3 linked regions of the Bombyx mori genome follow. The protein of the gene in region 2 purifies or fractionates together with the protein of the main gene of each other region. This does not show direct contact. Links are inferred from orthologs where the notes say so. Each region holds a gene or a part of one and is shown on either strand. Other genes may lie near its edges.

Region 1 (3,662 bases), on a different chromosome or scaffold from region 2:
CAGTGCTCACTAATTACTGCCATGGTGAAGGAAACATTGTGTTTAAAATATAAACTCCGTAATTTGCTTAATTCAGAGTAGTAAGGCGTTTTGTTAGTCCCTACAGGTATATTACATGTATATTTTTTGTGGCAAAACAGTCTCAAGTTCTATTAAGCGAGATAGCCATCATACGATACCATTGAGTCCCACATTTTGACCTCATATCTTAAGGTGGGTCATCAGCATTTTGTTGACCACGGGACCGCCCCTACTCTGACCGGGTTCTGACCCCGGGCGGTAAGAGTGCAGGGGAGTCGTTTAGTGCGGTAGGGCTCATCAGCATTCAAATTATGTCTATAATGACACCAGATTAGGTGTGAGATTGTTTACCATTCAATAGCTACTTTTTATTGCAGACCCAAAAATATTAAATAAAAAATTATAATGTTAGCTTAATTTTATTTTATAAACCTTATTTTTCAGCCATATCTTCAAACTACTGGTCAAATTTCATAATTCACAGCACATATCAAGTGTAAACCTGATGGCTTGTATGACAACGCTATGTTCTTTAGCAAAATTCCGTCCTAAATACTTGCCCCGAGTCATACAAGCACTAGGCGATCTTCACACGACACTACCTCCAACTCTATCGCAGTCTCAAGTCAATTCAGTCAGGAAACATCTCAAAATGCAGATATTGAATTTAATAAAACAATCAACTTCTAATGAGATGATGCCGCAGTTGACACAATTGCTAATTGATATCGGAATGACAGCACAAGAGATTAATAAGGCGGTACCGAAAGAGAAAAGAAACAAACGCTTAGGGGAAATTAGGAATGGGGATACACCATCTAAACGGTTCAGAATCGATTCACCTCAAAGTAATAGTCAAGGTAGCGACAGTAACAGCCGTAGTGAATTCATGTATGACGATGACAGCCAGTCAAGCATCACGAAGCCTTCGGCAACAGAAGACAGTATCCTCGAAGGCTTAAATTCTGTGGACAATGTTGTTAATCTTGTCATGAAAACATTGCAGAATTGTCTACCAGATAACATGCCGCCCTCGTTCACAAATGATTACAAGCCAATACCTAACTCTGGTAGCAAAGTACAAAAGAAGAACTTGGCTAAAATGTTGATGAGCTTAATAAGAGGTGAATCAGAAAATACACAAATAGTTACACAATCAATGGAGGTAGATACACAACCTAACCAGACAGTATTACAACAGAGCTTATCCGATATAGCTGCGAAAATACCGTTAATAAGGGAAGATGATGAGAAAACTACCCTCAAAAATGCTGTAGCTAAATTACAAGAGTCAACAAAAGACAGGCAGATAGAGAGTGCGGTTTCTAAACTAATGGAAGAAACGAGACAGGAACATTTGAAGGAGGAAGAGAGGAAAGCAAAGGAGAAAGAGAAACCGGTTCCTCCACCTACTCCGACGGTGCCTAAACTGAAACAGAAAGTGAAGCTATTGAAACTACAGGAAATAACACGGCCCATCCCAAAAGAAATAAAGCAAAAGTTGATACTGCAGGCCGTTGAGAGGATTTTAAATGCGGAAAAAGACGCCGCTATCGGTGGAGCCGAACAGATCCGGGCCAAATTCATCACGATATTCGCTTCGAGTTACACGCCGGAAACGCGCGATCTAGTACTGAATTACATTTTAGACAATCCCGCCGAGCGCATCAACCTCGCTTTGAAGTGGTTATATGAAGAATACGCATTCATGCAGGGCTTTAACCGACATCCGGTGACCCTACAACCGAAACTGCACGAGAAGCACGATCAAAACTACAACCAGTTGCTCTGTGCTCTGGTCACCCAGATATCCGAGAGAGGCGACCCTGTCATGGAAGGATGCAAAGATGTTTTACTAAGGAAGATATATTTGGAGAGTCCGGTGATCACGGACGAGGCCCTGGATTATTTGAAGCACTTGGTCACTGAAGATCAGGTGGCTCTGCTGGCTTTGGAGTTGCTAGAGGAATTGTGTTTGATGAGACCACCTCGGGCACACAAATATGTGACATCGTTGGTCTGTCATGTTTGTAAGTAACTTATTAACTTACTAATATTTATTACTTCCGGGAAGGAGACCAACCTGGACAAGGTGGAGTTGGCTTTCTCGTCAATAAAGTCCTCACGGGCAACATTGTAGAGGTATCCAGTGTGTCGACACGGGTAGCGTACCTCATAATTAAGCTCACCGAAAGGTACTCCCTTAAGGTGGTGCAAGTATACGCACCGACTTCGTCATACTCGGATGACGATGTGGAGTTTGTGTACGACGATATCACCAGGGCTCTGCACAATACCACAAAAGCCCACTTCAATGTTGTCATGGGAGATTTTAACGCTAAAGTTGGAGTACAGACTTGCGACGAATCGGTGCTAGGATCCTTCGGTTATGGATGTAGGAACCACAGGGGGCAAATGCTAGTCAACTTCCTTCAGCGCGAGAGGCTCTTTCTAATGAACTCGTTCTTTGAAAAGAAGCCACAAAGAAAGTGGACTTGGCTAAGCCCCGACACTGTGACGAAAAACGAGATAGACTTTATTATGACGGACAAGAAACATATATTCAGGGATGTCTCTGTGATCAGCAGGTTCAATACCGGTAGTGATCACCGACTTGTCAGAGGCACACTGAATATGGACTTCAAGTTAGAACGCAGCCGTCTAATAAAGTCTACGCTTCGACCCAGCCTACATCACATGGCTGTAGATCCGGAGCAATTCCAGCTAGATCTCCACAACCGATTCGCTGCCTTGGAAACCACCACAGACGTAGACGAGGCCTTAGATGGCGTGGTGAGGACACTGAGACAAGAGGGACAGAGATTGTGTCCAAAGGGTCGTACAGGCAGAAAATCAAAATTATCATCCGAGACTCTCCGGTTAATGGAAGAAAGGCGAGAAAACACACAGGCCACACAATCAGAGAAGATGGCTCTTAGTAAGAAAATCAGGACGCTGATACGACGCGATCTCCGACGGTACAATACTCAGCGGATCAATGACGCAATTGAGCAAAACCGAGGAGCCAAGGTGTTCGTGCAGCGTCTTGGTAGAAGCCACCTTACAAAACTGACCACAAGGGATGGCCAAATTCTCGCCTCCAAACCGGAGATTCTCAAGGAAATTGAGGACTTCTACGGACGTCTCTATATTTCCAAAACCACCAAGTCTGCCTCTGACCCAGCAGATGTCCGAGCCACACTATCTCGCCACTACACCGACGAGCTGCCACAGATTAGTGTGGACGAGATCGGGATGGCTCTTGAAAATCTTAAAAACGGAAAAGCCCCGGGCGAGGATGGTGTTACTTCTGAGCTCTTGAAAGCAGGAGGTCTTCCTGTTATTATGGAGCTCCAGAAGCTCTTTAACACTGTCCTCTTTACCGGTAGAACTCCAAAGGCGTGGAGCAGGAGCATAGTTGTCCTTTTCTTTAAAAAAGGAGATAAAACACTTTTAAAGAATTATCGCCCCATCTCGCTCCTGAGCCACGTCTACAAATTGTTTTCGAGAGTCATAACGAATCGTCTCGCTCAGAGACTTGACGACTTCCAGCCTCCGGAGCAGGCAGGATTCCGAAGAGGATTTGGTACCGTGGACCACATTCACACAGTTCGGCAGATTATACAGAAGACTGAAGAGTA
Region 2 (3,662 bases):
TTAGTTTTTTTTTTAGATAATCATTTTTACAATGAGTATTATAACGTAACAATTATTGCAATGACGAGTGGATTGTGGATATAAAAACTCACCCGCCCCCTAGAAGTGATATCCTCGCTGTAATTATAATTAGTTCCTATCGCTATGTAACCGCGGAGACCGGATCTAGAACAAGAGAAAAACAAAGATGTACACTACGATCGTTGTGTCGCTTTGTGATAAGAGTTCTATATAAACTTTATAAATCGAATTCTTTTTTTACTTATTAATTTTATACAAGCTAACCCGGCAGACTTCGTAGTGCCTCCATCGATAAGTAAAAGAAACTTTTGTATAAAATAAACGTAAAATTTATCTACCTTTTAAACCTTCTCTGGACTTTCACAAATAATTCAAGACTCAAAATTAGCCAAATCGGTCCAGCCGTTCTCGAGCTTTAGCGAGACTAACGAACAGCAGAAATCATTTTTATATTATATAATTTATATATTAAAGGGTCCCCCAGTAGTCGAAATTATTCTATTGTCTTCTTCTAATGGTTCTATTGTCAAAGACTATTATACTTTTATAATCACAAATTTCGCTAAGACTACACTATAGACAAACAATATTAATCTATTCTCAATTTGACCACAGACTTAAGCAATAAACAAAAGAGTATTTATGCGTGTCTGTGTCAAGTACATGGTAGTGTGTCTAATGCTTTTTTTTTTATTGACCTCATGTATATTATATGCATAATTTAAAAAAAAAACAATGTTCAATGAAATTGAAATTGAATCAGATCAGATGTCAAATTGAATTTCAATGAATAAAGATTTCATACTTGTCCGTCGCGCAATTTTCGTGAAAAGGGGTACAAAGTTTTTGCTTCACGTATTAATATATAGATGAGCACTTTTTTTTGACGTGACAACGTCTTATAATTCGATGGAACCGGCTGCACGCACGAAAAACATGACTCATGCGGCGTTACCTCGCTCTGAGACGTTCCATTTAAGGCTTGAAGTGCAAGCGAGAGCGCGCAACGAACGACAAAGACGCACAATCGGCCTCCGCGTTCGGCAGCGTTCGACATCTGTTCTTTTGAAAAATGAAACCATTCCATCAGTATTGTCTTATGACGTTGTCACGTTCAACTATCGTCAGTAAACCGACTTTTCAGACAAGCGAATTTTTTATTGCCCTTGTAGGCAGACGAGCATACGGCCCATCTGATGGTGAGTGGTTACCGTCGCCCATGGACTTCAGCAATGCCAGGGGCAGAGCCAAGCCGCTGCCTACTTACACTCTAGCCTTACTGTTGTGCAGCAAAACGTTTACCTGGTTCCTTCGTACGACAGCGACACGTTCTTGAGACACGTCACGTGCTCCCACTCGTCCAGCTCGATCTTGGTGTTCGGTATGATCTCCCAGGAGACGGGGGAGAACAGCATCACCGAGAAGCGATCCAGCATCGGGTACGGGAACCTGGAATCGTAACATTGATGAGACGAGCTCTTCGCTTGGAGCGTGTCGACAGGAAACGTGTTCATTTTCAAACGGCCGTCTGGTGTAGTGGTAAGTGACATGGTCACTACACAAGGGGGTCGCGGGTTCGAATCCCGCCAAGGGAAGATATTTGTATGATAAATATAAATGTCTTTTCCAGGGTTATGGATGTATATTAAATATGTGTATAATAAAAATCTTACATTTATATCCGTTATCCGGTACCTGTAACACAAGTTCTTTACGAACTTATCACGGGACCAGTTAACGTGGCGTGATTGTTAGTAAATATTTATTTATTTATTTTGTACTTCGAAGTGAAACTTCTTTAGAATCGTTGATGAAACGAAAAAATAAGTCCGTAGTGTTTTTTTTTAATACAGTGCCATCTATGAGATTTTTTTAACTAACGTGTGTATGAAACCACTTGTAGTGAATTTTAATTTAGGATTATACGTGAAGTTAAAATATCAATTCACAGAGGGCGCTACCTCATACTATAAAAGTCGATTTACAATTATTTACTAATGACAAAATTTTACATATACTTAAGACATTTGGGATCCCCAACATCCCCAAACTCCAGTGTGAGAGGCTTAAACGACAAAGGGAAGATCTTCCACCGAGCGGGTAATATTGCTCGATAGACCGACGGTCCGGATGTTGTTGTTTGAAATTTGTATATATGCAAACTTATCTTGAAAATGTCGTGAGCGAGATTCAGGCATCTGTCGAATATCTTGCGTTGTATGATGGCTACCCGCCACATTAGCAACAAACACTCCGGTTTGAGCCCCGTGAGCTCACCTACACGTTAGGGCGAAGCAGCACAGGTAGGAGATAAGAAAGGCTGCCCGATCTGAAGCACCGCATACCTGTCCCCTTTGTTCTCGGCAGACTTCTCCTTGTCCTCGCCGTTGAACTTGTAGTAGACCGTGGTGGGCTGCGAGGTGGAGGCCACGAGGCAGTAGGTCCTGGACTCCAGGTGGAACGTGACGTAGTGCGGCGTCATGCGGATGGGCACCTTGCGCACCGCCCACGCCGCGTCGTACGACAGGTGCGACGGCAGCGCGCAGATGCGGAGCGACGACTGCGAGGCGGGAGAGGGGCAGGGGCGTTGGAGGAGAGTTCATATAACACAACTAAATTGTTTAGTGATTTTTTTTTATTGCTTTAATGGGTGGACGAGCTCACAGCCCACCTGGTGTTAAGCGGTTACTGGAGCCCATAGACATCTACGACGTAAGTGCGCCACCCACCTTGAGAATAAGTTCTAAGGTTTTAGTGCAGTTACAAGGGCTGCCCCACCCTTCAAATTTAAACGCATTACTGCTTCACGGCAGAAAGGGTGGGGGTACCTACCCATGCGAACTCACCAGACGCCCTACCACCAGTAAAACATAAACACTCAGATTTTTATTTATTACATGGATGAGTAAGAAGCTGTATACATTGCGTCCTTTGATTGATGTATATTTTATACAAAGAATGTGTAAAGATGTTACAGGATTGCCCCGTTAACTTTAATTGTTTTTGAAGTGAAACTTCTTTAGACGCATAGTAGGTAGGACGATTGTGAGTCCGCACGGGTAGGTACCACTACCTATTTCTACCGTGAAGCAGTAATGCGTTTCGATTTGAGGGGTATGGCAGCTGTTGTACTGCAAAACTGAGACTTAGAACTCATGTTTCAAGGTGGATGGCGGTATTTACGTTGTAGATGTCTAAGGGCTCCGGTAACCACTTAACTTAGTCCTTGCCAGTGACAATTTATGATATATTTTTTGAAGTGACACTTCTAATAAGACTTCCAACAAAGGTTGCGTTAAACGTTTAACGCTACCATGAAACAGAAAGAGACAGAGCGAGAGTGAACGCGTGGCACTCGAGCGCACGCGCTCAGTATACCTGTTACAGGCCAGCGCGAGTGTCAGCAACGAGTAGCGGCCAATATTTTAATGAAGTATTAAGTAAATATATAATATAAATGTTGAAGTTGCCGCAACTCTTATACACAGCGTTCCCAAGAGCAATCTGATTTAAGGATGAAAAATGAAAAAAAAAACCAAAATAGTACACATCGAACGAGAAGTTTCACTTCATTCACGCGCACCTTAGTGCTTGGCTATCATTGTTGCGCGAGTCCCTGAACTGACCTCGGCGTTAAAGTA
Region 3 (2,744 bases), on a different chromosome or scaffold from region 2:
GAATAACATCGATATCAAAACTCCACTAAAACGAAAACATTTTTTAACTCTGTCATTTAAGTCATTTTAAAAGCATTTGCAAGCAGAAACGTAATACAAAGTTGGGATCACCTAGCCGAGCATATTATGTTGAACTCTACTAATAATTTCCAATCACTACATAGTATAAAACAAAGTCGCTTTCTCTGTCCCTATATCTGTTCCTATGTATGCTTAAATCTTTAAAACTACGCAACGGATTTTAATGCGGTTTTTTTTTAATAGATAGAGTGATTGAAGAGAAAGTTTTATATGTATAATAACATCCATTAAATAGTGGAGAAATCAATAATAAATTACAACTTCCGAAGCGAAGCGAGGGCGGGTCGCTAGTAAAAGTATAAGTATATGTACCCCATGGCTCGTCATATGTAGCGTGCGGGGGCTGGTAGTAGTCAGTGGGCGGCCCAGAGAAGAACTCCGGCGGCGGCATCTCGCGGGGGTGGCCGCGCCCGTACTCACGTCGCTCCGCTGTCATCACCTAAACCACAAAATACAATGTATTGTTATAATATTAATAAAAAAAATTATTTCATTGAAAGAGCTGAAGTGTTTACTAGGTTCAAAGACCTTACCGATTTCCAGTTTCTCCCCTCTTTAAAATAGATTTGGTTAGGTTAAGTCGTGAACAGATGTTGTGGACTAGTGTTGAGAGATCATTAGGTTTTATCATTTAAGTAGGTCATTATGCATTATGGGATAAAATTCTTCGTATTTTATTAAAATATTTAGAGGGGTGAAAGACTATTAAGCGATAAATTTTGCAACTTTAGATAGGCATCGGCTTGGCTCTGCCCCTGGCATTGCTGACATCCATGAGCGACGGTAACCACTCACCATCGGATGGGTCCTATGCTGGTCTGCCTATACGGCAATAAAAAAATACAGAAGAGCCATTTAAAACTTAATATTTGAAAAAATATCATAACAAGAACGCTTCTTCAGTTATTTGAATGGAGTCAACTTAATTGAAGTTCAATTAAAAACATTGAACTGTTAACACTAATCCTTAATAAAACGCACCATTAGAAAGATAAATTTCGCGTAATAAGTGAAATGTCGCTTAAGCGTAATAGCTTTTCACCCATCGATTTCAATTAAATAACATATTTGTACCTGAATAGTGTTTTCTCTGGACTGATAGTTATTTGTCATGGGAGGTGGTATTCCATCATCGTGTCTAATGTCTGTAAAACAGAAAATTTATAAAAATATCTGAATTCTGCATATCAAACTGTTCAACAAGCAAATGGCCAGTGGGCATATGGTTTACTAGTAGCTGACGTTCATTGCAGTAGTTTTACGTGAGTAGTATCTTCATGTCGACGCTTGAAAGGCAAACGTGACTAAGCGACAATGCGTGAACTTTACAGAAGACTAATTTAAAGTAGAAATTAATTTAAAATATACCTGAAAAATACCCGAAAAAAATTATATTTTAATGAATCTAGCTGTAGGATTGAAATAATTTTAATAGACATAGAAATATATATTTTGCGCATCGAATATGATTATTGCCTATCATTTATGTATAAAGCAGTTATTGTCGCTTAGTCACGTTTGCCTTTCAAGCGTCGATATACTTTTATACGTAAAGTGATTTTTGGGTTACAAATTAAATGAACAAAATTACAATTTAAAAATTAAATGAACATTTTATATTACATACTATTAAATATTATTAAATAAGTTAAGAATGTATTAATCTTACTTGGGGGGCGCCTCATGTCTGGCATTGGTGGACGGGGAACCGATCCCATATGCATTCCCACACCTGTTTCGTTGATTCGCATTCGTCGCTGCCGCTCACAATAAGCACTCCATGTTACTTCATTGAAACCATAATTGAAATAATCTGTGAATCGAAAATGGATTGGACAAGACTGTAGTAATTGATTATTTTTATAACCATACAAGACAGATGGATTTCACATCAATTCATTACAATATTAACCTGATATATCAGCACCCGGCTTATTCCAAGGTTTATCTTCTATAGTATCAATATTGAATTCCAAAGCGGGAACTCCATTAATACTTCCTGGCCCCTCCAAGTCCTCTAATGTCACTTTTCCACTTGTTGTAGTTACTGAACGAGGTTTCTCAGGTCCCCCTGCAGAAGCTACCAAGCCAACTCCCCTCTGAAATTGTAAATAGTCCCCAATTATGTATGAAAAAGGAACACAACTTGTTCTTTCAGATATTTGTGTGATCAATAAGTTTTTTGGCTCTTTGCATTTATTTAGACTTAACTATGTATGTATGTGTACATCAGTTTCCAATTCTCACAGTACAGGGAATCCTATTTTGTGCTAGGTGATTGCTTAGATGATTTTTTACATTACAAGTTTCTTGTATAACATGTATCAGCATTAAAACAGAACAATGAGTTTAAAATTTGCACCAACTCAGATAATTTTAGCAAAATATTCATTGTTGGCTAAGGACCTCGTCTGAGCTTATGGGCTTCAAGCTACTCAATGAACATTAAATGAGCTCACTGGCTCAACCTGTAGATAGTTACTAACACTACGAAGTCGTTGTGGCCTAAAGGATAAGACGTCCAGTGCATTTGTGTTGAGTAATGCACCGGTGTTCAATCTCAGGCGGGTAACAATTTTTCTAATGAAATAAGTACTTAACAAATGTTCACAATTGACTTCCATCGTGAGGGAATAACATTGTGCATTATAATATGCGTAATT

The links.
Region 1: the proteins of cleavage and polyadenylation specificity factor subunit 1 (region 2) and symplekin fractionate together in Homo sapiens (co-fractionation; 5 studies listed by BioGRID and IntAct, with this or other methods). This does not show direct contact. The link is inferred for Bombyx mori from reciprocal best matches to the Homo sapiens genes CPSF1 and SYMPK.
Region 3: the proteins of cleavage and polyadenylation specificity factor subunit 1 (region 2) and pre-mRNA 3'-end-processing factor FIP1 fractionate together in Homo sapiens (co-fractionation; 8 studies listed by BioGRID and IntAct, with this or other methods). This does not show direct contact. The link is inferred for Bombyx mori from reciprocal best matches to the Homo sapiens genes CPSF1 and FIP1L1.

What each region holds. Positions count from the first base shown.
Region 1 is NC_085124.1:2,856,384-2,860,045, reverse strand, and holds part of symplekin, read left to right. Parts: intron 1-465; coding exon 466-2,051; intron 2,052-3,662. UniProt on the Homo sapiens protein: Scaffold protein that functions as a component of a multimolecular complex involved in histone mRNA 3'-end processing. Specific component of the tight junction (TJ) plaque, but might not be an exclusively junctional component. May have a house-keeping rule.
Region 2 is NC_085134.1:8,450,063-8,453,724, forward strand, and holds part of cleavage and polyadenylation specificity factor subunit 1, read right to left. Parts: coding exon 3,648-3,662; intron 2,582-3,647; coding exon 2,367-2,581; intron 1,471-2,366; coding exon 1,324-1,470; intron 166-1,323; coding exon 93-165; intron 1-92. UniProt on the Homo sapiens protein: Component of the cleavage and polyadenylation specificity factor (CPSF) complex that plays a key role in pre-mRNA 3'-end formation, recognizing the AAUAAA signal sequence and interacting with poly(A) polymerase and other factors to bring about cleavage and poly(A) addition.
Region 3 is NC_085121.1:13,339,997-13,342,740, forward strand, and holds part of pre-mRNA 3'-end-processing factor FIP1, read right to left. Parts: intron 2,181-2,744; coding exon 1,994-2,180; intron 1,895-1,993; coding exon 1,751-1,894; intron 1,227-1,750; coding exon 1,156-1,226; intron 521-1,155; coding exon 394-520; intron 1-393.